Zea mays: one gene and its partner. The protein of the gene in region 2 binds, or shares a complex with, the protein of the main gene of each other region. Links are inferred from orthologs where the notes say so. Each region holds a gene or a part of one and is shown on either strand. Other genes may lie near its edges. The genes, in order: Mitotic spindle checkpoint protein BUBR1 and uncharacterized protein LOC100194273.

Region 1 (15,961 bases), on a different chromosome or scaffold from region 2:
CAGTTGACATGACCGAAGGCGGACTGGCGGTGATTACGTCAGCAAGCGTGCGGAAGCGGCGCATCAATCGCCAATCAAGCTTTGGCCCCACCTACAGGCTTGTATCCTCCCCTGAGGTGGGCCTGGGGGCCACTGTCGGTACCCTGAAATAGGGGTACCCCTTACTACAGTATGAAGATGTGGGGGACAGATATCCCCTGGATCCACTAGAAGGCTAAAAGACCTCGCGAAAGATCTTGGGCCTAATATTTCGCAAGGTCATCCCTTCGTGGGCCTGGGGAGGGACGTCTAGTGAAGTGGATTGACACAAGATTGGATCAACGCAAGCCCAGACGGCCTGATGAATTTGAGCAACGGTCGCAGCAGTGATCCGACCTTCCTGTACAATGTCCTCATACATCGGAACTGAATGGAGATAGGTCGGCAGAATTATAGGAAGATAGGCTCAGTCGGTTCACTATTACTTAGGCTTATGTTGTTATCATATCCGCATGTAAACGCCCCACGGTCAAGTATATAAGGCCTAGGGGGCACCCCCTCAAATGACATCTCACTCCTTAGCCATTTACTCAACTCTCTAGTATCCTCCATACTAGAGAACTCCCTTGTAACCTACCACACAAAAGATCCACACCAGGACATAGGGTATTACGCATCCCAAAGCGGCCCGAACCTGTACAAGATCGTCTATTGTTTCTCGTGCATCTGGCACGAACCATCGAGCTACAGTCGGTAACACCGTCCTACTCCAAAAAGCACCTCGAGGGGCAACCCCGGGTGCGCGGTCGGACCCAAAACACCGACAGAAGACGTGGTGCCCACGCGGCTATCTCTAGTCGCGTGGTAAACAGCACCCGACCCACCACGTGGACAGCTCCGGGGCCGCCACGTGGCCAGAGAAGATGATATACTCCAAGGTATCAACAGTGAGTCCGGACCCCCATGGGGGAGTGCCGGACCCCTGTATATGCAGACCGGACCTCCGGGAGAGGTCCGGGACCTCCCACTAGTAGAAAAAGGCTCAAAGCCTGCGGGGTGATATATTTTTACAGACGGATTCGTTTATCAACCGATTGTGCTATTTTTAGTGGCGGTTCCTTAAGAAAACCGCCACTAGAAATCGTATTTCTACAGGCGGTTCCTTAAGGAAACCGCCTGTAAAAATCCATGATTTCTAGTGGCGGATTTCTTAAGGAACTGCATGTAGAAATCGATTTCTAGTGGCGGTTTTCTTAAGGAACCGCCACTAGAAATCATTTTTATCCTTAATTTTTTGAGTTTTTCAAACAACCTTGTATGACAAAATCACCAAAATAAAAGTTATAGATCTCTAAAAGTTATAAAACTTTGTAGTTGACAACTTTTTTATTGGAACTCGTTTCGGTTCTAAAAAAATGAATCTAAGTATGTCAAATTTACTCCTGCGTTTTCGAGAAAAAGTATGTCAAATTTAAAATTCATATTTTGCAAACTACCTCGGATAAAAAAGTGTCAAAATAAAAGTTGTAGAACATCAAAAGTTATTCAACTTTGTAGTTGACAACTTTTTTATTTGAATTCGTTTAGAGTCTCAAATAAGCAATTTACACTCAAATGGTTGTAATATGTGGACAAAACAACTACAAACTAGACACAATGCATGCCATAAACGGAGTGGTAGTGGAGATTACGCGCGAGGGTGAGGTCGACGGTTCGATTACTAACAACCGCATATCGCGCGAACTTTACGCGAAAAATGCCGCGACTTGCAACTTTTAAATTTGTTTTAAAAAACCTATTTAATGTTTTAAAATAATTTTTACTAGCGGATTTATTACGTCGACCGCCAGTGGAAATTGATTTCCACTGGCGGTCCTCAGTTATCCGCCTATAAAAATGATGATTTTTACTGGCTCCTAGTACCGACGGTTCTAAGAAACGCCAGTGAAAATAGGTTTACAACCGTCACTATAGAGCTCCTTTGTACTAGTGTCCACGGGTGCAAACCGGACCCCTAGGATGGGTTCCGGACCCCTCTGTGTGGGGTTCGGGCCACTCACAGCAGGGTCCCGGGATTCTGGGACGAAGAATACCTAGGCCTTAACAAAGGCCAGGCGGGGTTCCGGAGCCGACACATGTCCGGACCATACCGTGTACGCTTCTGCTCCCCGCTCAGGCGAAGACCCGATGCTGCCACGTGGCCTACTGCCCGTGACGTAAGCCAGCGGGCAGAGCCTGACGTAAGGCCTCTGGGCCGCGCGACCTCTGCATTTATTGCGGATAAGGCGCGTTGCCTGTCAATTCCACTGGCAGGTGATGTGCCGCCTCGGCGTTTAATGAGCCCTGTCCATTCCACTGGCAGGCGATGTGCCGCCTCAGCATTTAATGTGCCCTATCCACTCCGCTGGCAGGCGGCGACCACACCATCCCGCAGGCGGCGTGCCTGTCTATTCCATTGGCAGACAGTACGCCCGTGCTGCGGCGTACACTATGCTCATCATCACTCGCGCGTTACCGAGGAAGCAGCGCGGGATATCAATACTATATGCACTACGGACATTATGGCGCTCGGAGATCACCCTGGCGTGACAAGCGTTAGTTACTTCCTCCCATTTTGTCCATGGGCCCACATGTCGGGGCTCAACATCATTATACGTGCCCCCCTTGAGCTATAAAAGGGAGGGCACGCAACGTTACAAGACAAGTTCTCAAGTTCTCTCACACTCACTCAAACTCACAAGTTCATACAAGTTCTCAAGCTCAATACAACACACAATGGAGTAGGGTATTACGCTCCGGCGGCCCGAACCACTCTAAACCCTTGTGTGTTCTTGTGTTCTTCTCGATTCCATCTAGCAGGCAAAATGCTTAGGCCTCCTCCTCATCTTAGGATTTAGGGCGGGTGCGTTTCTCCACCCGGCTGGAGAATTTCCTCTCCGATAGTGTGTTTGGATGGGATTCATTTAAAATAGAGCGGCTCCATCCTAATTTATGAAAATGTAGTCGTTTGATTTTGTATTTGACAAGCAGAACATAGCCGCTTTATTTTTTTGATTGAAGAGTAGAAAAAAGCGGAAATACTCCATTCTTTGTTTGGTTGGAGAACCATATGAGTAAGGATGACAATGGATTGGGTTTAGGTCGAGTGGAGCAAAAACCCGCCTGTGATCACACCCGTAAAGTCCACCTAAACTGAGCTTGCGATTACACCCACGGGTGCAATTCCAAACCCGTACTCGAACTCGTCGGGTTTCAGGTGGGTTTCGGGTCACCCGCGGGTTTTTACTCAATGTACAATTTTAGTTAATAATTCGGCTATAGGCAATTAAATCTCTACTATATTTAAAGCACCAGTTTTAATGGTCATCCTGCGTCATCTTTTTACAAATAACACCTCATAGCTATTTCAAATTAACAATTAACCCGTTGCACGCCCGTCCGGCTGACGTCCCAAAATACACCTCCACATATAGATGGCCAAACGGCGGCCCGGCATGGGCCAGACGCCCGCAGGCCACAGATCTGGCCCAGACACGTCATGCCGGCCTGCTAACTGTGCCGGGTCGAGCCATTAGCTCATCGACCCATTTGATTAAATCAGCGTAAAATGTTAAAAAATAATGCAAGAGGTGGGGTTCGAACCCATGGCCTGATAGAAGAAGGATTTGAGACACTGTGTGAAGCTGTCTAATTAGTAGAACATCATGCTCAAATATTTTTAATATTGAATATAAATTGTATATATGTATATACGTTTTTTAAAATAAAAAATATAATCGTGTCGGGTTGGGCCAATACTATGGGCTGAGGCTACAACTCAAGCACATCACGGCGTTCTTGGCTCTTGTAAGCATTAGGTCGTTTCTGAGACCACATTGGCGCAATGGACTCCATGGTGTTTGAGGTTGCTGAATTGGATGGAGCAACAATGATGTGCCACACTAACAGTAAAATGAAAGGTTATTTGTTGGTTCTAAACGTTAGTAATTGCTACGAAGTAGCATAATTTATATGGAACACATCCAGTTTTTATTGATGCCTGACTTTAGCAACCACTCTATATTTTGATCTATCTTTTTTATAAGTTTGAGTTCATGTGACTTATTTTAGAAACTTGAGCTTACAAACTTTCTCTTATTTGGTCTCTGTATATAGGAATTATGTCATTCTATAATCTATGTTCGTTCAGTCAGTCGTTATGAACTCTCTTATAATCGCTCATTTCATTGGTTGTGTTGTACCAAGACATACTGGATGGAGTAAACAATAACATCAGTTAGCCAAATCAAAAAAACATTATACGGAGAGCAGAGACAAATAATAAAAAATCTTGATATTTTTATGGATTTACGTGGGTATTGTTGTAAGCCGTCGCAACGCACGGGTAACCGACTAGTATTAGTAATAATTGAGTTATATCTATGAATTTTAAGCCTTCTCACGTTGAGCGCAACAAAATATTTAATGAATAATTAGCCAACCTACTTATTCAAAAATAATTACTATTGTATTGTATCATAAGTAGTATTGTGCAAATTAAAGAATGATCCAAATTTTGTGTCGGGTGTGGGTCACCCATGGTTGAAATAGAAACCTGCATAACACTCGTGAAACTTTGAGTCGAGTCTGGGGTGCACTCACGGGTTAAAATTTTTACCTGTACCCGCACCCGTCGGGTTGGGTACGTGTCGAGTTTCGGGTTTGCGGGTTAAATTGCCATCCCTACATAAAAGTGTAGGGGGGAGGAAAGACATGAGTATGCTCACATCCGATCGTTTTGATGGAGCAGAGACATCTCAATTATTTATGATATATTTTTATACGGAGACTATAAGAGTCGCTTTACTCTCTTTCATTAGAAACCAAACATCTACAAAAAATAGAACTGGATTGGTTCCATTCGCATCCACTCTTTTACCAAACACATCCTAATATATGTACTTGGTGGAGTAATTTAGTCCTCGTTTCATGGTTGCTTTTTTTTTTTTTTGCTAAAATTTACGCTTCTCATGGCATACAGCCAGTTGAATTTGTTCCAGCCAAGCAAAACATAGCTGGGCTATTTTGAGTACAAACCGGCCCAAATAAAACATGGGATTAACTAAAAGCCTACGGCCCAAACTTTTCGCAAAGCTTCACCGTTTAAAACCGAAACCTGACCTGCGGGCTGCAGCAGCGTCCGCTCCAAAACGCAACGGTCGAATCTCCTCGAATTCGAATTGCAGCCGGTGCCACCCACCTCACATGGCGGCGGCGGAAGAGATGATGGCGGTGCTGGACAAGGAGACGCTGGCGCTGATGGGTCTGGGCAACGCCGCCGCCGCGGTGGTTGCCGAGTGCGAGAAGTTCAAGGAGAACGCGAGGCCGCTCAAGCGCGGGCGCGACGTGTCCAAACTCAACCACGCGCTCAAGGCACACGCCGATCCCGCCCAGCGCGCCACTCTTCTCGAAGCCCGAAAGTACGTTTCCTTCTCCAGTCTTTCGCCCAGCAATGGGGGAAAAGGAGTTGTGGTTTTGTAACTTTTGTTTGCTCTGGATTTCTTTTTCTTGGGCCTGGGTCTGTGGGGAGGAGACAAGTTGCTGCAGTAATGCAAATATATATCATGTGTGTTCATCGTTCGGTTCATTTGCTTGATCCAGGAAGCTGATTGAGGCAATCTACGAGTACCAAGGCGAGGATCCGCTCCAACCGTGGCTGGAGTAAGTTTTTCTCATAGCCCCTTTAACTCGCCTTTTTCGATTTCTTGGTTCGTGCCAGGACTGGTAGCTGTTCTAGCAGATAGATTGTTCATTTCTTCTCTGATTCGTCCGCGTGCAGCTGCATCAAGTGGGTGCAGGAGTATTTTCCGACCGGCGGCGAGTGCTCAGGGTTGGTGGTGTTGTACGAGCAGTGCGTGCGGACCTTATTGGACGACGAGCGCTACAAGGACGACCTCCGCTTCCTCAAAGTGTGGCTGGAATACGTGAGTGATGCTTTGCCAGCTTGATTGTTTTTCTCTGTAGTTTGTGTCAGTGCAGTGGAGGCACCTCATATATCATTCCGCTGCCGATCTTGTCCTTTTTGCAGGCGGGGAACTGTGCTGATGCTGAGGTAATATACAGGTTCCTGGAGGCCAACCAGATTGGGCAGGGCCATGCGATCTACTACATGTCTTACGCATCGTTGCTGGAGTCAAAGAACAAGTTGAGGAAAGCTAATGAGATCTTTGACCTTGGTATAGCTAGGTGAGATTTTCTTTAGATCAGCACGTTTGTTCATATAAAGCTCCTGAGTTTTAAATTGTTAGGTAGATCATGCTGTTGTACTATATATCCGATCCAAAAATTGTGTCCTATAATGGACATGGAGTACATATATGCTCCTGTGTTTGATTTTCGTACATAACAAGAGTCAATGATGGTACAAAAATGAGGCTGATGTTATACTGAATCAGTTTTCCTTCTTTGTTTTATTTTCATGATCACTTCTAATTTGATACATTCTAACGAATTAGAAATAAAAAGTTCCTTTTAGTTTCTAGTTCGCAAACGTAAAATGAAAAAAAAATCTCAGTCTTCTACTTCCTATTCTTTAAGATTTGACACTCCTTTGACTAGTTATGCCACTATCTTCTTGTAAATGATACAACACTCGGAATTGTTTTACTTATCATGGTTTCTGCTTACCTCTTTTGTTATGGTTAGTTGTGCATTGGTTTTAATACTTGATTAATCCATGTGAATGTATGAAGTTTCTTATATTCGATTTTTTATTGTCAGAAAAGCGAAGCCTCTGGAGAAGTTGGAAGCTGTATACAGGGCATTTCTTCGAAGATCAATCAAAAAGAGGGAACAAGAGGTTTGCTATTCAAATTACAGCAGTGTTTATTTATCTTGAAGCCAATACCTCAGTTGAATGACTTCTTTCTTTTCCTGTAGCAGGATGATACAGTAGATGATGATCTGCCAAAACGCAGTTTCGGGAATAACTTGAAACGAGATGAAAACAGTAAGCTTGTTCAGTTTTACTCTGATTTAGCATGAACTTCGAGTGGCTGCAACCTAATACATATGCAAACATGGCAGGAAATCAGCAAGCAGGGAACTCCCACCTGGGGAGACCAAGGGCACTGCAGAGGTCAGTACCTGTATGATGTGACAGATGTAAAATATCCATCTAAACCTGGAGTTTTTTTTCCTCATCATGTCACTGATTATGCCTTTGCACACTTGCGGAATCGATGCTAACAGGCCGCTTTCAGTTTACAAAGATGAAAGTCCATTACCAAATCAGGGCCTTGACAGAGTGAGGAGCAAAGAAAATAACACAAGTTGGCGCGTCCTCGGAACACGAGCAGAACGGAACAAGGAAAATAACATGATGCCTGCTAAATGGACGTCTCACAAGGTACTTTTGCCATGCCATTTAGGATTCTCTGAAGTGGCCCATGTGAGACTTGCACCGAGGACAACTATTCAGTAACGAACTTGTGGTAACACTGCATTGTTGTTGTACAGATTCCACAGAAGTTAGGAGCAAGAGGAGCGGTTCAATCAACCCGAGCCAGTTGTTCCATTGAAGTCTTCGTCGAGGAAGACTGCACACAGTATGTTATTTAACATGCTAGTGTTACTCTTTTCTTTTTTGAGATTGTTCAAAGTTACTACAAAAACATATATGTCTAAATAGACTCTTTTTTTCCCCTTTGGATTGCTGTAGGGAACCTGCTCGGCCGGTGCCAAAGAGCCCAAATCCTTCTGTTCTGAAGCTCAGGCAAACAACAAGCAAAAGCCTTAAGAAGTAAGTACAGCATAGCTCTTGTAGCTTCGGGTATTTGGGAAACTATTGTCAGCAGTTCCCTAACCTCTGCGGTCTTTTCTTTGGAGCAGGGAGACTGAATTGCTCAAGGAGAACCCGCTGCGCAACTTCCCCCTGAGCAGGCTTAGGTAATCAGCATCTTGCTGGTTCTGAGAAACATCTCGTACGTTATGATTTGGTCGTATGTATGGTTGCTGTGAGGTGTTGTGCCCAAAAAAGGCTTTATTAGCCTCTAAAGCTTAGACGAGCAATGTATGCCTATGGCATTATCCAAGTGATGTAAGGCTGTGCATTATATTGACACGGCGTGCTTATTATGAATAGACCTGCAGATCTCGTGCGTGCCTATGTGAATCTAGCCTCGCAAAATAATCTGCTTCTGCAAATTCTAATAGCTTGTTCTGTAACGAAAATGCCTTTGGACTAATATCTAATAGCGTCTCATTCAGTTTGTTTATATTTGAATGCCTGAGAAATTAGAAAACATATTTGAATGTTTTATTCCGTCCATAAATATAGAATCTCTGTAAGCATGTAGCTAAACTCAATAGAAACATTTTATGCGTAGAATGTGTTTAGGATGGCAAAAATGTGTATTGATATGCATGAAAACAAAAAAAATCTGATTTAAATGCTTTATTTTTCCCATAAATATAGGATCTCTCCGACAGCAATCCAGCTATGCTCGTTGGACCAGTTTATGACATATACTAATACTAATTATGCATCTGATACACCGCATAAAAACTTGTTTTTTACTGCATACACACAAATTTAGGATGACAATAATAACCGTTAAAAAGAAATGGACATGCATCGAAACAAAAAAAATTATTTGAATGCTTTATTTCGTCCATAAAAGTAGGATCTCTACAACAGCCATGTAGCTAGAATCGTTAAAACCAGTTTATGATGTAGATATTTATGCTACACGATATAGATATTTATGCAGTGTGACAGACTGCGTAGAAAATAAGTTTCCTGATGTATGCACACAACTTTAAATGACAAAAATGTGAGTTGAAATGAAATGAGATTGGTATGCATGAAAAAAATCTGATTTAAATACTTAATTTCCTCCATAAATATAGAATCTCTTCAAGAGTCATACATCTAGTCTTGTTAGAACCACTTTATAATATATACTGAAATTAATTATAGTACACAGTGAAGGTATTTATGCACGCGATACATTGTGTACAAAATCTATTTTCTGTTACATGTGCACAAATTTAGGATGACAAAAATGTGAGTCGAAAGGAAATAGATTAGCATATACTGCTCAAGGCTTTATTTCGTCCATAAATATAGTATCTCTTCAACAACCATACAATTAGGCTTGTTAAAACTAGTTTATGATATATACTGATACTAATTATGCTATATGTGGAAGTTATTTATGAATTGCGGTACACTACATGAAAATCAATAAACGTTGGAAGGAAAATGTGAATTGAAATATCATAAAATGTGAATTGACGTTGCAGTTAGACTCGTTAAAACTAGTTTACATAAAATGCGAATTGAAATATCATAAACATACAAAGGATGAGAAAGCCATGACCTAACAATGTATCATAAAAATATATTGACGTTGGCATAAATATGTATACAAAATCGCATAAAAACAAGGTCGTAGATCCTTCACCGCTCGCACCTAGTGAAGTCCGTCATCGTCACTCGCGCCTAGTGAAGGAGACGTCGTCACCGGAGGTGGGACGCCAGGGGGCGCCACTCCGGGGTGCCCGTCTCAGAGGAGCCGACGTCGCGCCTCTGGGATCTGCCGCCTCGTGCGCGCCACCCAGATCCGCCGCCGCCGTGCTCCCTCAGGGCCATCACCGCCGCTGTCGAAGCCTACCGCACCTCGCGCAACTGTCGTCGCCACCGGGCCTGGGGTGTGCCGCCACTGCTCATCTGCTTCGGGAGCGTCGCCGTCGCTCGATCCTTGGAGAGCGCCGCCGCCGGTCGCCCTCCTCGGGGATCACCGCCGCTCGCACGCCTGAGGAAACCGTCACTGCCGCTCACTCGCCTGAGTGAACCGCCGGCCCCACTAAAACCTAATCTCTGGTGGCCTAGGGGTGTTTTCATAGCCGCCCGAAGCTAATGTGGCTATACAGAATGGCTCCGTTGAGTCAGTATTTCCTCTAGTTATTGAAAACCCTAGGCACCATATATATTATATATATATATATACATACATATATATATATATATATCGTGGATAATTTTTCTCATAATAGAAAACTAGTAACGCAATTGTTTCTCCAAGTAATTTGCAATTCAAGCTACAGACAAAACGTGATTGGAAACTGGCGTGCAAGTGGATACATGACATGCTAAGGACATCAACTAGGCCAGACCAGTCCGAGAGCAGGTACGGTGCAAACAAGAAGATCCATTCTACATTTCTATACACGTCATGAAAATGACCATTAGTTTACTTTTTTTGGTTTCTTTAGGGCACGATGACAAGCCGTCTCGCCAGATGATAACGTAGTAAAACTGTGGCTGGCTGCCCAAGCCCACAAAGCCTTTGTACATTTGCATTACATCATTGGGCTTGCAATGCGACATGGCCGGTTGGTTAGAACCAGTAGCTAGCTAGTGAGTAGCAACACACACTGTTATATAAGGAGGTCACGAGCACACAGCCATGCTCCCGGTGCACCTGCTCCAGGCAAGATTCTCTCCTCTCCTCTCTCAGAAGGCTAGACGGCCGACGATGAATCGCCAGGCGAGTCGGCGAGGCCACCGGGTGCGCCATGTCCGGCTCGGCTCGCTTCTCCGGCTCCGCGTGCGGCTTTTCGGCCTCCTTGTCCGCTGCCTGGAGGACTTCAACTGGTACCCTAGGGGGAGGTCGAGGCCACATAATAAGATGATGCTCAGTCACGCTGACACTGGGCCAGCGGAGAGGGAGAACTCCCTTCAGGCAGACGCCATTGCAGATTGCTTAGAGTTTATCAAGAGATCCTACCTACCTGCTGGTGATCAGCAGCCAGATTGCTGCTAGCTACCCTTCTTGGCCCGGCCGGTTTGGTTCTCGTGACATTCCAAACAAGCCCCAACACCCACGTGAAAGGCTTTCCTAGTTTGTACACATACATATAGCAGTTTTGCTAGTTACCTTTGTTACGTTTGTTGTATGCATATATACGAGTAAATCAAGAGTGACCAAAATGTATCTATGGCTGCTGAAATGTGAAACGTCATTTTCTTGGCAATAAGAATACGTGTGGTGTGGCTTTTTTGGGCGATATATGGTTTTCATCTAAGCGATTAGGTGAACTTGACTAATAGATGGCAACTAATCAAGTAGCTTTCAAGCTTAGTTTTTCAGAGCAGTTGACCTAGTCCCGGCATAGTACAAACAAATTTGTGGACGAGGGTTTCTCTCTGTGATAATGACTTACATGGGCAGACACCTCCTTAACATTTTGAAGTGGCAATCAACATATCTTCGGTGGTACATGCTGCTTAATGCATGGTTATTCAAAACGTCATAAGGACCTGTTTTAAATTGCAGCTCGATTATTAGAATCTGTTAGGGTGTCCTCTACGCCGGTTAAAAGTAATAGGGTTGGGTTTATCCTAACCAACTCTCTAATAACGCGCCCTTGATCGGGGGCACCTTAACCATCATTGCAAACCCCGGTCACACAAGCACCATATGAATAGCATTAAGAACTGGTGGGTTAAGCTAACGCAACAGCCTTCGCCCAAACCCTAACCCCACATTGATAGAGGCTCCCATCGCCTAAGGTGCTTGGAGTGACCGGAATCGCTGCAATGACGACGAACATGGATGACCAAACGTCGCCGGTCGTCGACTTCGACAACACGCAAGGAGATGTGGATCCACCTCCACAACCACAAGGAAGAGGGACACAGGGAGGAGGTCATCCCTCTCAAGGCGCCACTGCCATCACCACCGCCACCACCAATGCGAATCAAGAAGGTATGTTTCACAAACTTCTTAGTTAGATTAGGATTCCCACATCATAAAAGGTTCTAGGCTCTTGATTGGCTTTCTAGGGATTTAGGTAAGATTCTGAGCACCTTAATTTCTATCATTGGCATCAAAGCCACCTAAGTTTTCCCTAGATTCACTAATACGATTCAAAGGGATCAAGAACAGCTCTCGGGTAACATGTGAGTAGGCTCAGAGAGACCATCCTTGCCCACTCACCCCGAGAAGATAAATCAGAGAAGAATTAGAAGTAGAAAAGAACAGACAAGGTCTTGGGTTAGGTAGATCCTACCACTAAATCCATAATTTTGAGGTAGAAGACGAAGAGTGAGGGTTCGGGTTAGTGAAAGTCGCCTAGAGGAGGTGAATAGGCGAAACCTATAAATTATAAACTTTGAACACGAACTTCACCCAGGGTTAGGATTAGAAATAGTAATAATGAATTTGGAGTGTAGAAGAGAGTTCTTCTTGCTATGAGTTGCTCAATCAATGCGGATAACTTTGGGAGCTAACTCAAAAGATTGTGAGTGTTGGGGCGAAGGCAAAGACGCCACCCTTCGCTCGTCGCCTTCGCTTCAGTCGCTGGTCTGATAGAGACAAAACGGGCAGGGACACCCTTCGCTCGATTCAGCACCAGACGAAGGCCTACGGTGACGTCTCCCCGCAGCACGGCCTCGTCCTGCTCTAAGGCCCACGTGTGATCTGGCCCATTGTAACGGGCCCCGCGTGGCCGCCTTTGTGTTACGGGCCTAGTTTGTAAAGGCATTCTTGTAATTACAGCTTGTAACCCTGCTTTATGGGAATATTCTGGGGATAAACTAGGTGTCTGAGGGCACATGCGTCCTTAACACAAGACGCTGGGCACTCAGATACCTATAAATACCCCCGCACAGTGCCCGTGAGAGGCTAGATTAACAGAGCTATTGCCCCCCGAGCACGTAACCCTGTTGTCGCCACTGTTCACCCCTGTTGGCCTCCTTGCTGCTGAGACCAAGTGCCAACATTTGGCGCCCACCGTTCGTGCTACGACAAAACCACCCGCGATGGCACCCAAGAGAGCTAACCCGAAGGCTGACGAGGCTGCAAAGGCAGCACTGCTGGCCGCAAGAAAGGGCAAGGCCCTCGCCCTCACCCAATCCACCCACCAAGAGCCCACTGAAGACAATGTTCCCCACACCGGCGAAGACGACACCTTCCGCACCTGCGGAACCGAAGGACAATCGCAGCCGCCCCCAGGCTTCGCCCCACTAGGAGGCGCGGACCTCACCGAGGACGGTGAGGTCCTCGGCGTCTCAACAGAAGAACAGCTACAGCTGCGCGCCCTGCGCCTCAAGAACCGCAATCTCCAGAGGCAGAAAGAGATACTGGAGGCCAAGCGCCAGCGTGTGTCCGCACTAGCCAAGGTGCGGCAAATGATACGCGACGAGGAGCAAAAGGCCCAAGACCTCGAGCGCGAGATCGCGCTGATGCAGCGCGAAGGCCACCTTGGCCTGCAGCAAGAGCCACCCCTCCAGCAGCGCGCGCAACCGGAAGACACGCGCGAAGGCCACCTTGGCCTGCAGCATGGCCCACCCCTGCATCACCGGGCGCGGCCGGAGAGCCCGCGTTTCCCCCAGCGCGACTACACCTTCCAGCACGGCGCGCCATTCCAAGGAGTCAACTACCTCGACGAGCGAAGTCCCCTGGCGCCACACCTGCAGGTGACGCCTTGGCCAGCTAACTTCCGAGCGGGGACCTATCCCAAGTACAACGGCAGCACCGACCCGGCGCAATACATAATGAGTTATCAGGTCGCCGTTGCATCCGCCGGAGGGGACGACGCCACAATGACGAAGTCTTTCATCATCGCCCTAGAGGGCCCAGCACTCACCTGGTTCACCAGACTGCCTCCGCTGTCCATTGATTCGTGGAGAAGTCTCAGGGACAAGTTCCTGCTCAACTTCCAAGGGTACCGCCCAGACACCGATGCCTTGGCCAAGCTCTCGCTTTGCAAACAGCTGGAAAAGGAGACTCTGCGGGAGTATTACCGCAAATTCTTAACACTCAAGTCGCAGCTGCCCTCTGTCGATGATCAGATCGCTATCCACTACGCCATCAGTGGCCTTCGGGCCGGCGTCCTCTACAGCCACTGTATCAGAGATCCACCCAAGAGCTTGCAGGAGCTATATCAGCTCTTCGAAAAATACGCCAAATCCGAAGAGCTCCACCAGCGCAAGGTTGAGTCACAGCGGAAACCCAAAGATGCCCCGCAGTCCAGCCGCACGTGGACGAGGACTCCGCAACCAGACTCCGGTCGAGATGGCCGCAGTCAGCAGCAAGTGCACAACATCGCCAACCAACAGCCTGCTGCTGACCCCCCTCGTCGCCAGGAATATCCCCCCCAGGGCCGCGGAAATGGAACTCGTGGCAGGGGCCGAGGGCGCGCGCAGCCACCGCGCCGGTTCTACTGCCTTTTCCACGGCGAAGACTGCGCCCACCAAACCAAAGACTGCCCCGAAACGAAGGCAACCAGAGACAGAATGGCGCGGGCGTAGCCAGCCGACAATCCCAGAATTGTCGCGCATAATTACCAACCACCCCCTCCACCATATATCCACGCTCCCGCTCCGCACCCACCGCACCACGCTTACCAACACCATCAGGAAGTACAAATCGTACCTCCTCCACCCCCACCACCACACCAGCAACATCAAAACATCCCCCATGCCCCAAAGCAGGAAGACTTCGCCGACCAACCGTATCGCGGAGTCATCCACATGATAACAGGGGGGTCCAGCACTGACTTCGACACCAAGCGGCAGAAGCGGGACCACTACCGCAGTATCAACCATGTCGCCGTCACTGGCCCAGTCGTGCAGACGAAGTGGTCCCACATACCGCTAACCTTCGACGCACGAGACGTCGACCTGCGCAGCGCCCCCCACATCGACGCTATGGTCATCAATTGCAGCGTGGCAGGCTGGGACTTACACAAAGTCCTAGTCGACAACGGCAGTCAGGCGGACATCATCTTCCTCCACGCCTTCGACCGCATGGGTATAAGCCACAGCTTGCTGAAGCCTTCGGACAACCCGTTGTATGGTTTCGGCGGCAAGGGCACCTTTCCCGTTGGCAAAATAGATTTGCCCCTCTCCTTCGATGTAGCACCCAATGCCCGAAGTGAGCAAGTAACCTTCGACATTGTCGACATGGTATATCCATACAACGCCATCATGGGCCGGGGCTCCATCAATAAGTTCGAAGCTGCCATCCACGGGCTGTACCTATGTATGAAGATACCAGGTCCGCTAGGCGCCATTACAATCTACGGCAACCAGCAGACGGCGCGCAACATAGAGCGGGACTTCATGCCTGGTCAGAGGAACGTACACTGTCTCACGACCCAGCGCGAGGTCCCCGCACCCGCCAGCCCAACCGACAAGCAGCACGACAAGGCACAGTTGCAGAGCCAAGACGGGACCAGGACTGTCCCCCTCGATCAGGCCACGCCCAAGCAGACAGTCACTATCAGCGAAGACCTCACCTCACTTGAAGAAGAGAAACTTCTCTGCTGCCTGGCCAAAAATAAGGATGTCTTCGCCTGGTCCGCCCTCGACCTGGTCGGAGTCAGCCGATCCATAATTGAGCACAGCTTGGGAATTGACCCTTCGGTGCGACCCAAAAAGCAGAGGCTTCGCAAAATGTCCGACGAAAAGACAGAGGCCGCCAAGGCGGAGGTGCACCGCCTCCTGGAGGCTAAATTCATTGAGCCAGTGGCTTACCCCACGTGGCTCTCCAATGTCGTAATGGTGCAGAAAAAAGCGGAAAATGGCGAATGTGCATAGACTTCACCAGTCTCAATAAGGCCTGCCCAAAGGACAATTTCCCGTTGCCGCGAATCGACAAAATAGTCGACAGCGCGGCCGGATGCGAGGTCATGTCTCTCCTCGACTGCTTCTCCGGCTATCACCAGATATACATGAAGGAGGAAGACAAGGCTAGCACCAGCTTTATAACACCCTTCGGCACTTATTGCTTCGTCAGAATGCCGGAGGGTCTCAAGAATGCCGGGTCCACCTTCTCCAGGCTCACCAAAACAGTACTCGAAGGGCAGGTCGGCAGAAATATATTTACATATGTGGACGACATCGTCGTCGCCAGCAAGAATAAGGAGGACCATCTCGCCGACCTGGCCGAGACATTCGCGAACATGCGAGATGCACGACTCCGCCTAAACC
Region 2 (15,504 bases):
AGGTAGTATTGGCACCACCTTCTCATATACATAACACTCTAGGTCGCAGCCTAGCAATGGCACAGTCCAGAGAGGCCAAACCAAGACAGTGCAGTTCCTTCTCAGCCATTCTTCACTATGAGCAAGGTCTCGCGAGTCCCTAGCAATTTCCAGATGGACGTATCTCCTTGTCAACTACAAGCTGGGTCCTAATATTAGCAATCTTCTGCTGGCTCCATTTTTTTAAGGATTTGCTACGATGCTGCAGCTTGAGAAAGAGGCGCTCAACCGACAATTGGAAGATATGGCCATATGGGAGCCTCCCAGTTCAGATGCACAGCATAAAAAAAACTTGGGAGTTTGGTCCAAAAACTCTCAAAGTGGAAGTGGCGCTTTCCCTGAGTGCTGACCTTGGAGCCCCAAGATGAGTAGGCACTGATCCGACACCCCTGAGGCAGCGCTCTGCAAAATTGCATCAGGAAAAAATCCTTCTCAATCATTGCTGCAAAAGGCACTGTCCAGCCTTACTAGAATTGGGCTCAAGCTTTCACCAGACCAAGTATACTTTTGTCTCAACAAAGGAATATCTTTAAGCTCTGAATCATCCAAGAACAGCCAGAACCGACCCATTATAGCTCTGTTGTTGAGGTTGTTAATGTTATTGTTTGCCACTTGATATCAAATTTAAATTTCCTGCTACACTTCATGGACCAGAGAAAAGGGACTGAAAATTCCACAGCTCTTGCCAGAAAAGGATTTCTCGATATCTTCTTGAGGACCATATACGCCTGTGAACCACCAATTACAGCCTTCTTCAACGAATTGGACTAACTACTGAAAAGACATCAACATGGGAGGCTATTGCTTGGCACACATAACTCTTCCAAGCAATCAGGATCCCTCCATGCGTGCAACTCGCCGGCAGGGCCACAAACTTATCATAATCAGAGCCAAAAAAACAAGTAAAAAATCTGCCAACTTATAGATGCAACCTTGGTCTTTGGTTTCCTGGAGGCAAACCACATCAGCCCTGGCGGAGAGGATAACATCCCGAACTGAATTACACCACACTGTACTAAGACCATGGGCGTTCCAAACTAGGCTTGCAGAAGGATTCAAGAGGAAATATATTTTGAACCGCCACCAAACAGGCCCAATCAGAAAACTAACAAGAATTCCGCATAGCAGACCTCTTCACTCTCACCAACCTTCATGTAAATTTGAGGCCTTCGAGCATGCGCACAAAGCAGTATGTGCCGAAGGGTGTGATGAAACTTGTTTTCGCCTTGTCTTCCTTCTTCATGTAAATTTGGTGATAGCCCGAAAAGCAATCGAGCAGAGACATTACTTCACATCCTGTTGCGGAATCAACGATTTTGTCGATTCTTGGCAAAGGGAAATTGTCCTTTGGACAGACTTTATTGAGATTGGTGAAGTCTATGCACATTCTCCATTTTCCATTTTTATTTTGTACCATCACAACATTAAGCCAAGTGGGGTAATCGATGGGTTCGATGAATTTTGCTTCCAGTAGGCGATGGACTTCTGCCTTCGCTGCTTCGGTTTTTTCGTCAAACATTTTCGTAGTTTTTGTTTCTTGGGGCGTACAGCAGGATCAATGTCCATGTTGTGCTCAATGATGGTACGACTGACGCCGACAAGGTCTAGGGCGGACCATGCAAAGATGTCCTTATTGCGGTTGAGACAAGAGAGAAGTCTTTCCTCTTCTACTGCCAAGAGGTCCTCGCTGATCAAGATTGTTTGCTTGGGGGTGGCTGAGTCCAGGGGGACTGTTTTTACTCCCTTGTTACTCTGCAGTTGTGCGTTGATCTTTTTCCCTTTGTTTGGGCGAGGGCTGCCGGAGTCTTCGCGCTCGGATGAGAGGCAATGCACATTGCGCTGGCTGGGGACGAAATTTCTTTCTATGTTCCTGGCAAGCTGTTGATCTCCATATATGGTAATTGCACCCTGGGGCCTGGGATTTTCATGCATAGGTATAGTCCGTGTATGAATGCCTCTGGTTTATTAATGGATCCTCGCCCCATGATGGCGTTGTAGGGGTAGACCATATCGAATATGTCGAAGGTGAACTGCTCACTTCTCGCGTTTGGCACAGTGCCGAATGACAGTGGTAGCTTGATTTTGCCGAGTGAAAATGTTCCTTTTCCTCCGAAGCCATATAGAGGGTTATCTGCTGGCTTGAGTAGGCTGTGACTTATGCCCATTTGATCGAAGGCGTGTAAGAAAATGATGTATGCCTGACTACCGTTGTCAACAAGTACTTTGTGCAAAATCCATCCTGCTAGTTTGCGATTTATCACCATCACATCGGCGTGGGGTGCACTGCGGAGATCGACATCCCTTGCATCGAAGGTGAGTGGTACATGGGACCACTTTGTTTGAACAACATGTCCGGTGAGGGCGACATGATTGACACTTCGATAGTGGTCTTTCTTCTGCCGTTTTGTGTCGAATTCGGAGTTGGATCCTCCGGTAGTCATGTGGATTACCCCTCGAAAGGGTTAATCGGCGAAGTCCTCTTGCTTCGGTGGGGGTGGGGGTGGTAATGGTTGGTTTGGATGTTGTGGAGGTGGAGGCGGTAGAGCTAGGATTTCTTCGTGTTGAAGTCTCTGTTGTTGCGGGTATATATTATGGTTTTGCTGGTGAGGATGGAAATGTTCATTGTGGAATTGGTGCTGGTTGTACTGATGGGGATGATAGGTGTGGGCGACGAGTCTCTGGTTGTCAATCGGTGGTTCCTAGCCATTCGATCCTTTGTTGCGTTAGTTTTGGGGCAGTCCCTGGTTGGGTGTGCCGAGTCTTCACCGTGGAAAAGACAATAGAATCTTCGTTGCCGCTAGCCTCGGCCTCTGCCTCTGGTTGCATTACCGATGCGACCTTGCTGCGGAGGGTAATCGTGACGACGAGCGGTGACTCCAATCTGTTGATTTGCGATGTTGTGCACCTGGGACTGGGTGCGGTCTTGCCGGCTTGAGTCCGGTTGCGAAGCCCTGACCCATGTCCTGCTGGACTGCGGAGCGTCCTTGGGCTTTCGTTGAGACTCGATTTTTCTTTGATGGAGTTCTTCTGACCGGGCGTACTTTTCGAAGAGCTGATATAATTCCTGCAAGTTTTTGGGTGGGTCCCTTATGCAGTGACTGTATAAAACACCTGCACGAAGGCCGCTAATTGCATGGTGAATAGCTATATGGTCATCAACCGAAGGCAGCTGTGACTTTAACAGGAGAAATTTCTTGTAGTATTCTCGAAGGGTTTCTTTCTCCTGCTGCCTGCAGAGTGATAACTCTGCCAGAGCGTCTGTCTCAGGTCTGTACCCTTGAAATTTTAACAAGAACTTGTCGCGAAGTGTTTTCCATGAGTCGATTGACAATGGAGGCAGTCTCGTGTACCATGTGAGGGCTGGGCCTTCGAGAGCTATGATGAAAATTTTGGCCATGGTGACGTCATCTTCTCCAGATGATGCAACCGCGACTTGGTAGCTCATGATATATTGTGTCGGGTCGATATTGTCGTTGTACTTCGGGTAGGTACCTGCCCTTTAGTTTTGGGGCCAAGATGAGGCTTGGAACTGTGGAGCGAGAGGGCTTCGTTCATCAAGGTAATTTAGTCCATGAAAGGTAGCTGGGGCCCGGACTGGCATGCGGAAACGGTGGCCAGGGTCCTGCCGCTGGTGGATGGGGTCTTCGCCTTGCATTTCTGCAATCTGTTGTTCCAGTTCTTTGGCTTTCTGCTCCTCATCTAGGATCATCTGACTGACCTTGACCTGCATGGTGATGCGCTGGCGCTTGGCTGCGAGTATTTCCTTTTGCTTCTGTAAGTGGTTGTTTTTTATGCGGAGTGCATGCAACTTGAGCTGGTCCTCGGCTGAGATGCCCAGGACTTCGCCGTCCTCGATGATATTGTCAGCTTCCGGTGGGGTGAAACCTGGCGGGGGGTCCCGAGATAGTCCCTCAGAGCTGCATGTGCGAATGGTGCCCTCTGGTGTGGGCGGATTCTCCTGGCGGTGTCGCTTGTTGTTGACTGCTCCATCCTCGAGGGCCTCATGAGGGACATCGCCAACCAGGCCTGCTTTGCCCTTCTTCTCAGCGAGAAGATCCGCCTTTGCTGCGTCGTCCAGGGAGGTGGTAGCCTTCGAAGCTGCTTTCTTGGGAGCCATCACGGGAAAGGTTTGTCGGAGCACGAACGGTGGGCGCCAAACGTTGGAACTCACTGACACTTGGTCAAGTGGGTCCAAACAATGAGATATGAAAATGCTTTGATGCTTAACAACTCAATGGTTTAGAGCAACAATGTAGTTCGGCATGTCCCGTCAAGGTACAGTGCAGGGGTATTTATAGGTAACCATGACGGCGGTCTCACCCCTATAAGTACAATTATGCCCCTGGTTACCTACGTCATCCCCAGAATATTCCCCCCTCAGGGGTCATTATAGATCATTACAGTATGGTTAAGTACAACCCGGACTGACACACCATCAATCCTACCCTAGACTGGGGTTTACACGTGGGGCCACACAATCCAGCATGACGCCGCATGGGCCCGCTTCGTTGACATGCGCGAGTAGTGGCTGCAGCCTTCGTCTTAGGGCGCCTGGTCTTCGGATCATGGCCTCCGCCTGTCCTGATTGATCCATCCGTCCCAAAGCCTTCGCTTGATTGAGGTAGACTCTGCTCTCCAACTGTCGTGACATGTTCTGTTTACGTTATAAATGAACTGAGCGAGGGGGGCGGGCCGCCTTCGCTCCAACGCTTCCACCCAAGAAATGGCAGCAAAAGGCAGTGAGGTGTGCATCAGAAAGGGGTTATCAAATAACTAGCTGTAATTATCTTGAGCTGACTGGTTATCTTCTCCATAGCAGAGAGGCCCAAGCTATGAATCACTTGCTCTCTTCTGCACATCAGAGACCACTGGCCCTAGAGAGCATGGACCAGCACCAACCACATGTCTGCTTCGATGTGGTAGTGATCCTGAGGGAGGCGTCTTAGACTGTCTCTTTTTTATGACGATTTGGGGAAGGAGCTTCACTACAGGCTTTGTTACCTTATCCAGAAGCTTGTCCCGCGTAGTCAGGGACAGTGTCATGATGATTGGATCCGACAAACATAAAAGTGTAATGCTCAACAGACCCATGAGCTATTCTATGATCAGCATACTCATGGATACAAAGAAATACTGAGGTTTGATAAATACACAAGTATGGTGCTCAACATGTAGGCTGAAAACTACTAAATCATAGCATGTGGTTACGCTACCTGTTCTTCCGCATCTGCTTCTTCTAAAATATTCTCCAGATGTTTTAGAAATGTCAAGTGCATCTTCTTCAAATTATCAAGGGGCTCTGCTTTCCTAGTTAAGCCACAGACCATATTTTAACATCACATGGACGTGTGAATATCAGGTTGTATATGCTTAAAAAGAGTAGAATTTCAAGTGGAAATTATTTTCCACTCACACTAACCTAGAAATACCGATTCCATACACCTTATCAGCCTCAACCAATTTCCCATGAGCAATTAGATATTGTGCATATGAGTCATACAATAGTGCATGCTCCTGAAACATTCCTTTCTCCTCCAGCTGGTTGTAAACACTGGGGAAGTCCTCAATTGCATCTGCCTAAAACGCAAGAATCACAAAAGACCCCAAAAAGATAAGGAAAATAATAAACAACAACCCAGGAGGAATGGTATCAGAAATGATATATAAAATCAATCAGGTTACATAGAGGATCCAAATCTTGAGCAACCGTGGATCAGTGGAGTATTGGTAGTCATCCCCATATTTTGCAATGCATTCAGTCAAGTAATGCTTGAGCCTGTCTAAGGCTGTCGTGTCATACTGAGGCCCTGTTCCGAGCTCATCCATGGCCCTGCTAATAGACCTAAATAGAAAACCAGAAACCGATATTAGCAACCCAAACCAAGGTTAACAAAACCGAGGATAATCACCGGTAAACCGAGCGGTTTACCGAACACGCCGAGGCGCGGTATCGGTTTTCCACCGGTTTAATTTCAAATTTCGGCCAAAACTTGAAAATTTTGAAGAAAAAAAATTATAAAATGGGGAAAATTATGATAAAAACTACATCCTCTCATGAGTCATATGATATATAAGATATTCAAATTTAGTCTCGTTTAGCCCATTAAAAATAGAAAACTTTTAGACCCGTTACCACAGATCTGCTAAGCCGACGGCTAACCACCTCAAGTCGGCGATAAACCGTCCGTTTGCTTGGGTAAACCGCCTGTCGTTGTTTGGACCCGAGGACCTAACCAACCAGTGAAATAATGCTGCGTGCTCCTAACTCAGATGGTGATGCAAGTTGACACAAGTCTTTTATCATGGTTCGAGCAAGAAGAGGTCCTGCTTCCAGTAGAGGGGGATGAGACTTAGGTAGTGTTTGGTTGAGGAGCCAAGTAGAACGGAACCGTTCCATCCCTGATTCTAGGAACGGGGCCGCTCTGTTCTGTGTTTGGTAATCTGGAATGGAGCGGCTCTGTTTTTTGTTTGGTTGCAGAGTGAACGGAACGAAGCGTGACTGTGCGAGCGGGCTGGGAACGGAGCGGCTCCGTCCGGTTGATTTTTTGGAGCGGGATGGTTCCGGATATGAGGAGAATATTCCCTAATTGGAGCCACTCCGTTCTAGTTACTTTGTAACCAAACAACAACAAAACTGGGACAGAACGGCTCCGTTCTACTTGGCTCTTCAACCAAACACTACCTTATATTACTTGCACATAAGTGCTTGTAGTAGAGAATACAACTTGAGCGGGAGAGAGAACGATCCCAAGTCCCTGGATTGATTGAGGAAAGTGTCAATACCGTGGTGGAGGAGAAAACGGGGAAGTGTTCGTCTGCCCTCCTGAAGCCATAGGCTATCCTATTTATAGCCTCAGAAGGGGTTGCCCGGAGTACTGGAGGTGGCCGCACACTGTGAGGAGGTGTCACTGTGGTCCTGTAGACGGTATGGTCTAGAGTTATGACCTTGTACTTGTTGTTGACTTGTGCATGCTTGATTTCTGCTGAGAGCCGAGGCCAGGGCCGAGGGTTCGATCACGTATCCAAGCCCTCCTGGCGAGGGGGTTGCTCATACTGTAGTGGTTGACACAGTACCAAGTATGGGAAAAGCCCTTTAAGTAGTGTGTAGGGATGAAAACGGTCGGAAACAGACGGTAAACACTAAAACCATTAATGTTTTCATATTTTTTATCAGAAATAAAATCGAAAACGGTAACTCCGGAAACGGAAACAATATCGGTATTTCAGAAACATCGGAAACGAAAGTTCGGTGCGGAAAATACACTGGTAACGGTCGAAATCTAAAATATGATCGGTAAACATATCAAACTTCACAATACAACAAAGTTGGCAAAAGATCACAAAGACCACAAGTTCACAATTCATGATATAACAAGTTCACAATATAAAAGTTCATAAAGATCACAAGTTCACAGACTCAAAGTTCACAATTCACAATATCCACTCGATTTAGCTGACATGGCATGCTTACTCATGAAATATTTTTTCCTCACATAAAGAGTTTTTTCACAGCCTCACAGGAAAACCCTAAAATCTAGTGTGTGGAAAAGACAGACTGTCGGCTCTCTATCATTATATATTACTAATACATAACATGTGCATAGAAAAGGGTGGATTCGTTCGAGAGACCAAATCGTTAATCTCAACAGCCTTCCAACGCCATCTATCCAAAAAAAATCTTAAGGCGTCCAAAAAATACAAAAATAAGTAATCTTTATCCAGAGACGTACAGGCGATGCCAAAAAATCACATGCCGGAAAATTCCGAAAAAAATTCCGAGACACAATTCCGGAAAATTCTGAGACACAAATCCGGTAATTTCCGACAAAACCGGTAACCGAAGGAAACGGTCGGTAAAACACCACGCCGATTCCGATACCGATTCTGATAGAAAATTCCAAAAACCGATTCCGTTTTTGAAAAAATACTGTTACCGGTGAATCCGATCGAAAAATTTCGAAATCGGTTTCCAGAATACCGAAAAATTCCGAAACCGTTTTCATCCCGAGTAGTGTGTCAGTTCTGCAGTGTCTGATGACGTTGGGCGCCTTCCCGTTGCAGATATCGAGGTCAGAGCCGAGCTCGGGCGAGGTGGTAGTCCGTCCGAGATCGCGACTGAGCCCATTCTGAGATTCGAAAACGTGTGCCACAGTTGAAGGAGTGGCCTCCTGCGGGGTTCATGGGGAGTAGGTAGCCGAGACCGGGCTCGAGCGAGCCGAGTTTATCCCGAGGCCGAGTTCTACTTCGGGCGAAACGAAGTTTACGCCCGAGGGCTAGCCTGTACCCTTGTCGTATTGTATGTCCCGTCAGGAGTTGGCAGACGGCGTACAGGAACAGTGGTCGCATGCGTAATCATAGTTGGTGAATCTTTGACTAGACTGTGGTCTTGTTACTCCTGCACACCTGCAGCCCTATGTGGGTTAGGTATGCGCATTGAATGTTGTTGTCCCCGGCAGACTTCAGCTGAGTCTCGCCCTGGGTTTTGTCTCCCTTACCCGAGGTGGGCTCGGGCGAGGCGGAGACTGTCGTTCTGGGGTGAGGGGACCTCGACCGGGACGAGGATTCTCTCGAGAACACACCCCGTCCGAGGACAGGCTCGGGCGAGGCGGAGTCTGTGGAGACCCCTGAGGGGGGCCTTGGGCGAAGCGCGGCTTACGATCCTTCGTACCTTGATGGTGTTTTTAGTGGTTAAGTGTGTTTTAGGGGTGTAATCTGAGTACGCCTAATTACCACACCCGACACCGCCTGTTTTCACCGGAAAACCGGATTTAATGACATGATTGAGTTCTAGTTTAATCATTTAGTGCCCAGATTTGGTTTTGTGATGTTTAGGGTTTTAGATTTTTTTTACATCATCAAAAGTTAGGTGTATTGTAGCCTACTAGTTATATATTAGTACTATTAATATATAGTTATATATGTTAGTATTTAGTTATATATATGTTAGTATTGTTAATATATGTGTAGTGTGTAGGTCCATTTGTTCGTGTTAATACATAGTTCTATGCTAAGACCTAACTCATTTGCTTGTGTCATGTTAATATTTAGTTATTGTCAGATGGTTTATGTTTTTGTTAGTAAATATGTTTCGATGTTTTATGTTAATATGCCATTTGCTACAAGTTATATGTTTTTATTCTACTCTTGTTACATGATATTATGTCTTCTTATTTATAGGAGGCATGTCGGACATTGTCTAGGAGCATGGAGAGAAGGTTAGCACGGGTTTCAAGAGAAAATATTGTAGAGAAACTAAGAGCGGAGGGGGTGGTACACGTTTGAAGGAGCATCTCGCACATAAAAAAGATCATCAAATCGAAGGGGGAAGAAGAGGGACATCTCGCACATAGGGGGTGGTACCCGTTTCGACCATTCTATGTTGTTGTCGAGATGCATGTATATGTAACTACAAGCAGATCGGTGTGTTATTTTTGCTTCGACAATAGGTATTTATTTATCGTTCTTGTTTTATCGCTAATGTATCTCATATCATTGTATAGGACTACGTATACGGAATGGGCCCATACCAGGATCCTTCCAACATGCCTGAATACTATGACTCGAGCTGAATAAAGAGTATTGTGAAACAAGTAGACATATGTATCGTGGCCTCGTGGGAGAACTCTAAAAGAACTTGTATAATTGTATTTGAGTATTGTGCCATCCGATGGTTGTTTGTTGCATGAGAATTGAAGTTTGTGGTTGCATATGTATGTTGAATATCATTTTGGTGAACATATGTTGTGTGAGTCAGTTAGTATTTACTATGCAACGTGAATTGAGCAAATTACAAATGAACTCTGCCAAAATTTTCCATTTTTCCCTGAAAACAAAAAAATGATTCATATGGGTGGTTTACCAGCGGCATTGGGTGGTTTACCGCCGGTTTTTCGCCGTAAAACCATTTTGAATTTGTTCAAATTTGACATGGGCAAACCGGTTGATTTTGTCGGTTTTCACCGGTTTACCCATTACCCGTGGGTAGCAGTTTTCTCCAAAAACGGTTTGGTTATCCTTGACCCAAACACATGTCTAAGCTCATTCCATTATGTACATGGATTTTTAGAAGAGGAAAATCAGACCTATAAGCAGCCTAATTAAGACCGAAATCAAGGTCTCACACATGGCAGCCTCGCAAGAATTTGAATAAGAAATCAACATATACTAGTGCATCCCAGTTCAATCCCACAGGGGTACTGGTAGGCATGAGTAACCAGACCCTGAATCGCGGAGGTAGAGCCGCGCAAGCTAAACTAAACGTCCAAATTGCACATGCTTTACATTCAATCAAACGGCGGAACCTTCAGACACGCACAAGCACACGCACGGACGCACCGCACCCGTGCACTAAGCGAGCTCCCACACGGATTCGCACACGCTAAATGAATCCAAGTAACAGAGGCATATCTCGAGGTAGATTCGAGATTACCTGAGGTACGGGAGGATGGGGTCCGAGGGCGGCGAGGCCACCTCCCACGAAAACCTAGGCGACTTCGGGAGCGGGCTACAGGCGGCCCCCTGCGCCGCGGCCGGAGTGCGGTCCAGGATCACCATGCCCCGATACAGAGAGCCTCTCCCCTCTCGGACGAACCCTGCGGCGATCGCCGGCGACGAGCAGCTCTGCAATTTGCTCTCGCGCGTGTGTGAGGCTGAGCCGTGGACAGCACTGGAGGGCAAATATTTGGCACCCAAAAAATTTGAAAAAGAATCGCCCCGCAGCTAAGTGGCCAGTGCCCACTCGTCAGGACCCAAATATTTCCCCTACTACTTTAGACTGTATGCAGTAGTGTCCTTTAAATTTTTTCCCCTAAATGTTACTATATAGTCACGTCAGCAAGATTCACTCTCCTATATTCACTTATCCCGCAACTATTCTCCCTAAAAATTCTCATATATATATCCCTCTACTCATTAAATATACATTTCCATATAACTAACATAACCAAATTCATTTTCTTTTTCCTTTTTTCCTTTTCACACGTCCGGCATGTTGCGATGTTATAAATTTATAAAAAAAATATATTTATTTTTTTACAAATTATGCATAATATACAAAACAAACATTTGAGTTAAAATTTATTTCGAAATTGCATACAAAACTTCACAATTGTGCGTCGTCATAATTATTGAGAAACATTGCGATGTAAAAAATTGAACCAAGCTTACGTTGGAAGCAGACACCGACCATTCGTACGCAGGAAGCCACGGTTGGCTTCCAACGAAAGCCACGAGCTTTCCCCTGAAGCCACATTGATCTCGCCTATATATATGCATACTTTCTCTTCGCATATGTAGCCACAACGAACACAACTCCAGCAAGTTAGCCATTGTTCGGTATGTCTCACTGGCATAGGGAAGATGATTCCGATTCGAGTGATAGTGAGGACGACACACTTTTGCTTGTCAATCTTCTTACCCTCAACATTGAGGCTAAACGCCATCTCCGACGATGTTCCGGTATACCTCGCCGCATCATTCACAGGGATCATTTTGCTGGAGAAAATCTCATCCAGCATCACTACTTCGGCCCGAACCCAGTGTATCCACCCACGTGTTTCGTAGAAGGTACGCACTTCAAATTATTGTAATATGTTATGACATTATCATTGTATTCACAATGAACCTATTAAATTTTATAGGTTCGGCATGAGTAGGCCGTTGTTCATCCGCATTATGGAAGGACTGCAACAGCAGGATAGTTACTTTACGCAACGGGTGGACGCAACAGGCATGCTAGGACTCGGGCCCCTACAAAAAGTATGTGCGGCAATGCGGATACTTGGTTATGGGTTACCTACTGATGCGGTAGACGAGTACATTCAAATTGGGGAGTCAACCGCTAGGGAATGCCTTCATCATTTTTGTCGCGCAATCATTGCATATTTTAGTGGGTGGTATCTACGAACTCCTAATCAAGCTGACATAGCACACATCATGCACAATAGCGAGGCTAGGGGTTTTCCTGGAATGTTGGGTTCCATAGATTGCATGCATTAGGAGTGGAGGAACTGTCCTACGGCATGGCGTGGTCAGTTTTGTTGCAGAAATGGTAGACCTTCGATGGTACTCGAAGCGGTAGCAATGTATGATCTTTGAATTTGGCATGCATTTTTTGGCATGCCTGGGACAAACAATGACGTAAATGTGCTTCACCGATCACCAGTATTTGACCCCATGACAACCGGTCGAATGCCACTAGTGAATTACACAATAAATGGTCATGCTTACAACTTCGGATATTACCTTGCTGATGGCATTTACCCCAACTGGCCAACTTTTGTAAAAGCAATCAGACACCCATATGAGGAAAAGAAAGTCTATTTCACACAAATGCAGTAAAGTTACCGAAAGGATATTGAGTGCGCATTTGGAGTTCTTCAAGCCCGGTGGGCGATGCTGCGTGGTCCAATGTACGGTTGGGATCGTAATCGTTTAACGGAGATAATAACAGCATGCATCATCATGCACAACATGATTGTCGAAGACAAAGGGCAGTTTGCTGCTAATATAGATTTCGGAGAAAACACTTCAGGCATTGAACCATCTCAACTAATTCAAGAAGGACGGGCGGAATGGGTGATCAATCACTTTGATCTTCGTCGCCAAGACAGGTCGTGCTCACTACAAAATGATCTTGTGGAGCATTTGTGGGCTCGACGTGGAAGCATGTGAACTTTTCATTTCATAACTACGTATTTCGAACTTCAATTGAATAATTGTAAGGTCCTCTGTCATGTCGTTGTTATGGTTCTTCAAATAAATAATTTAATTCTACAATTTCCTACCCTATGTCGTCTGTTCAGGGACAAAGTCATTACAATTCATTATGTACAACCTAATTTTTACCAAGTAAACCACAAGATAACAATGCAACAAATAATAATCCTAGGTGTTTCCACAGCCGACTTAATTATTATGTAGTACACACGTTACAACATAACATAGAACCAACATGTCATGCAAGACTTATGGTTACAACAAATTTATAATGTTTTCGAAAACAAATAACACAATGAAATTAGATAAAAATTCTCAAATAGTTTTCGGCACCAGTACTACGACATGTCACACAACAGTACATTTATTGAAAACTAAATATGAACTGCTGCAAGCGTTTTTTCTGCTCCTTCATCATAGTCCAAACTTCAGGATCCACTACCTCTTCACTAGTTGACTGTAGCATCTGCAATTGTTGTTTGGGCGATTGGAGTTCTTCAAGTTTCAATTCCCTTTCACGAATGCTTAACTTTTTTGCTTCCAATTCCAACCTCTTTTTCTCTAGTTCCCTGTCTTGTTCAGTGCACTTTTCTTTCTTTTCACCCTTTTCTATGCAGCGCTGAATTTGTTTTTCAGTTAAATCTTGCAAACGGCTTAAGTATTCCGTCGATGAGGATGACATACCTTTCTTTCTCTCAGATTTACTAGAATCATGACCACAGGGCCGTTTTCTTGTCAAACCAGCAGAACCACTATTAGATTCATGTCCACCAACTAATGGAGTACTAGAAGATCCAATTGATTTTGCATGTAATCCTCGGAATGAAGTTCCTTGACAGATGCTCCCATTTAGGTTCCCCCTTCAGTTGATGCCAGCAATGCATAAAATGGAATTGTTTGTTCTCTTCGTGTCACACCCGGTTTTAGAAGGCAAACCGAATGCGAACCATGTACGTGCCAGGATCAGCGATTCACGTACACAGCAGTTACATAACATGGACATCATCACACAGTGCTCAAATAGTATTAAAAAGGGAAATAGTAGTCGATTACATCATATGTCTGAGACATCCACATAGTCTTTACAAATCATCAAAGTGCGGAAAAGAAACGTATATAAACGCGGCCTTCATGGGCAGCCGACTGGGGGTTGCCGCTAACCCATGCCTAGAACTCGTCGTAGTCTTGGAACTCCTGGAAGTCTTCTTCCACGGCTTCATCTTCTCCTGAGCAGTGGCTGCAATGCGGACAACCTGGGGGGGATTGGTGTGTAGAGCAAGGGTGAGTACACATCAACGTACTCAGCAAGCGTCCTGTTTGGCTGTAGTGGACTAGCTTTATGTGGGGATAAGTCAAGCAGTTGCTTTTAGTTGGTCAGATTATTATTACTAGTAGAGAAAGCCAAGTTTTAGAATTTACCCACGTTATTTACCCAGGTGTATCCTTTCCAAACAGAAAGCATACCACCTACCATTACCAGAGTCAAAGCCAAGAACCATCAGTCTCATTGCCACCTGTAATCTGAACATCTCTGATCAAGTACCACTAATCACTGGAGCTCCCTTGGCCGCTTATAACCGCGAGCACGGCTGATATATCAGTTTTCAAACACTCTGCAGAGGTTGTGCACTTTACCCACAAGTCGTGATTCCCTTTCTGCCCGGAGATCATGACTCTCCATTGATCACTACCAAGGTGACCCAGTAGGGTTTCACTAGGTAGCCTTTACAAAGACTCCCCGGGGCTGTAGTCACCCGTTAGGTTTCCTAAATGTACCGCACTCCTCCCCAAGGGACAAATCAACCTTGGCAGAGCAAGCCGCATACACCGAGCCCCATTGACGGCACGACGGCGAAGCGAACTACACCCCGGATCCTCTAATTATTCAGCTAAGGGCACCCCATTCCACCCTCATGGTTGCACTGTTTTCCTGGGCGGTCATCCAACGAACAGGTCCTTACGGAGAGGCACTCGAGAAACCGCTCGAGCCCCCTTAAAGGCCACAAGTATAACATCATAATAAAAGAAGGGAAAACAGCGTATCATTGATAATTCTCATCATGTTCATTGATTAGAGTTGAGCAATAGCATAAGACTAAGAAATAATAATCTAACCCAAATAGGTAAACAAGGACATGGATAACAAAGCTAGTCAATCCTTAGGCATAAATGTGTAATACGGGAGGTGAATTAAAGAATGAATAGGACAGAGATAGGTCAAGGGACACTTGCCTCCACCAATTGACTGCTGCTCAGGGGCTTCTTCTGCGAGTTCTTTGGGCTCTTCGATCGGATCGTTCTCTATGCGAGCGCAAACATACATACATCCACATATTTAATACAAAAGAACAGTACACCATACAATAGAATGCAGTAAGTAAACAGACGTTCCACGCGGGCTCGCAATTACGGCTAAGAGAGAAAGAGGAACGGACAGTCGAGAAACGGTCACGTTACATGATTATCAATTAAACTACTCGCTTAATAGAAGGGAATTAATTTAGACACTACGTTTGGCATAAAGTAAAGTCAAGTTCCACATTTAATCATTATAAACAGTTGAAGATGAATGAAAGGGAGTGGCCGCACGTCGAGACATACGACACGACATTTAGATTGCATTAAGAAGTAAACGACTCGCTGCGCGACCAAGCGCACAACGAAACACTTGCACTAATTATAAATAGACGTTAAGCATCGCGCGACGAAGCGCATGACGACATACTCCAACAGAGTTGAGTTTAAAGT

The links.
Region 1: uncharacterized protein LOC100194273 (region 2) and Mitotic spindle checkpoint protein BUBR1 share a complex: the UniProt entries of both Arabidopsis thaliana proteins name them as parts of the mitotic checkpoint complex. The link is inferred for Zea mays from reciprocal best matches to the Arabidopsis thaliana genes AT2G20635 and BUBR1.

Annotation. Positions count from the first base shown.
Region 1 is NC_050100.1:126,585,410-126,601,370, reverse strand, and holds Mitotic spindle checkpoint protein BUBR1, read left to right. Parts: upstream 1-5,169; 5' UTR 5,170-5,223; coding exon 5,224-5,438; intron 5,439-5,619; coding exon 5,620-5,679; intron 5,680-5,797; coding exon 5,798-5,942; intron 5,943-6,046; coding exon 6,047-6,204; intron 6,205-6,738; coding exon 6,739-6,817; intron 6,818-6,897; coding exon of another isoform or gene 6,898-6,900; coding exon 6,901-6,967; intron 6,968-7,044; coding exon 7,045-7,096; intron 7,097-7,209; coding exon 7,210-7,366; intron 7,367-7,476; coding exon 7,477-7,565; intron 7,566-7,678; coding exon 7,679-7,759; intron 7,760-7,848; coding exon 7,849-7,909; 3' UTR 7,910-8,125; downstream 8,126-15,961. UniProt on the Arabidopsis thaliana protein: Essential component of the mitotic checkpoint. Required for normal mitosis progression. The mitotic checkpoint delays anaphase until all chromosomes are properly attached to the mitotic spindle.
Region 2 is NC_050102.1:160,972,585-160,988,088, reverse strand, and holds the start of uncharacterized protein LOC100194273, read right to left. Parts: upstream 10,746-15,504; 5' UTR 10,594-10,745; coding exon 10,469-10,593; intron 5,882-10,468; coding exon 5,722-5,881; intron 5,617-5,721; coding exon of another isoform or gene 5,459-5,616; intron 5,347-5,458; coding exon of another isoform or gene 5,253-5,346; intron 1-5,252. UniProt on the Arabidopsis thaliana protein: Serine/threonine-protein kinase that performs 2 crucial functions during mitosis: it is essential for spindle-assembly checkpoint signaling and for correct chromosome alignment. Has a key role in the assembly of checkpoint proteins at the kinetochore.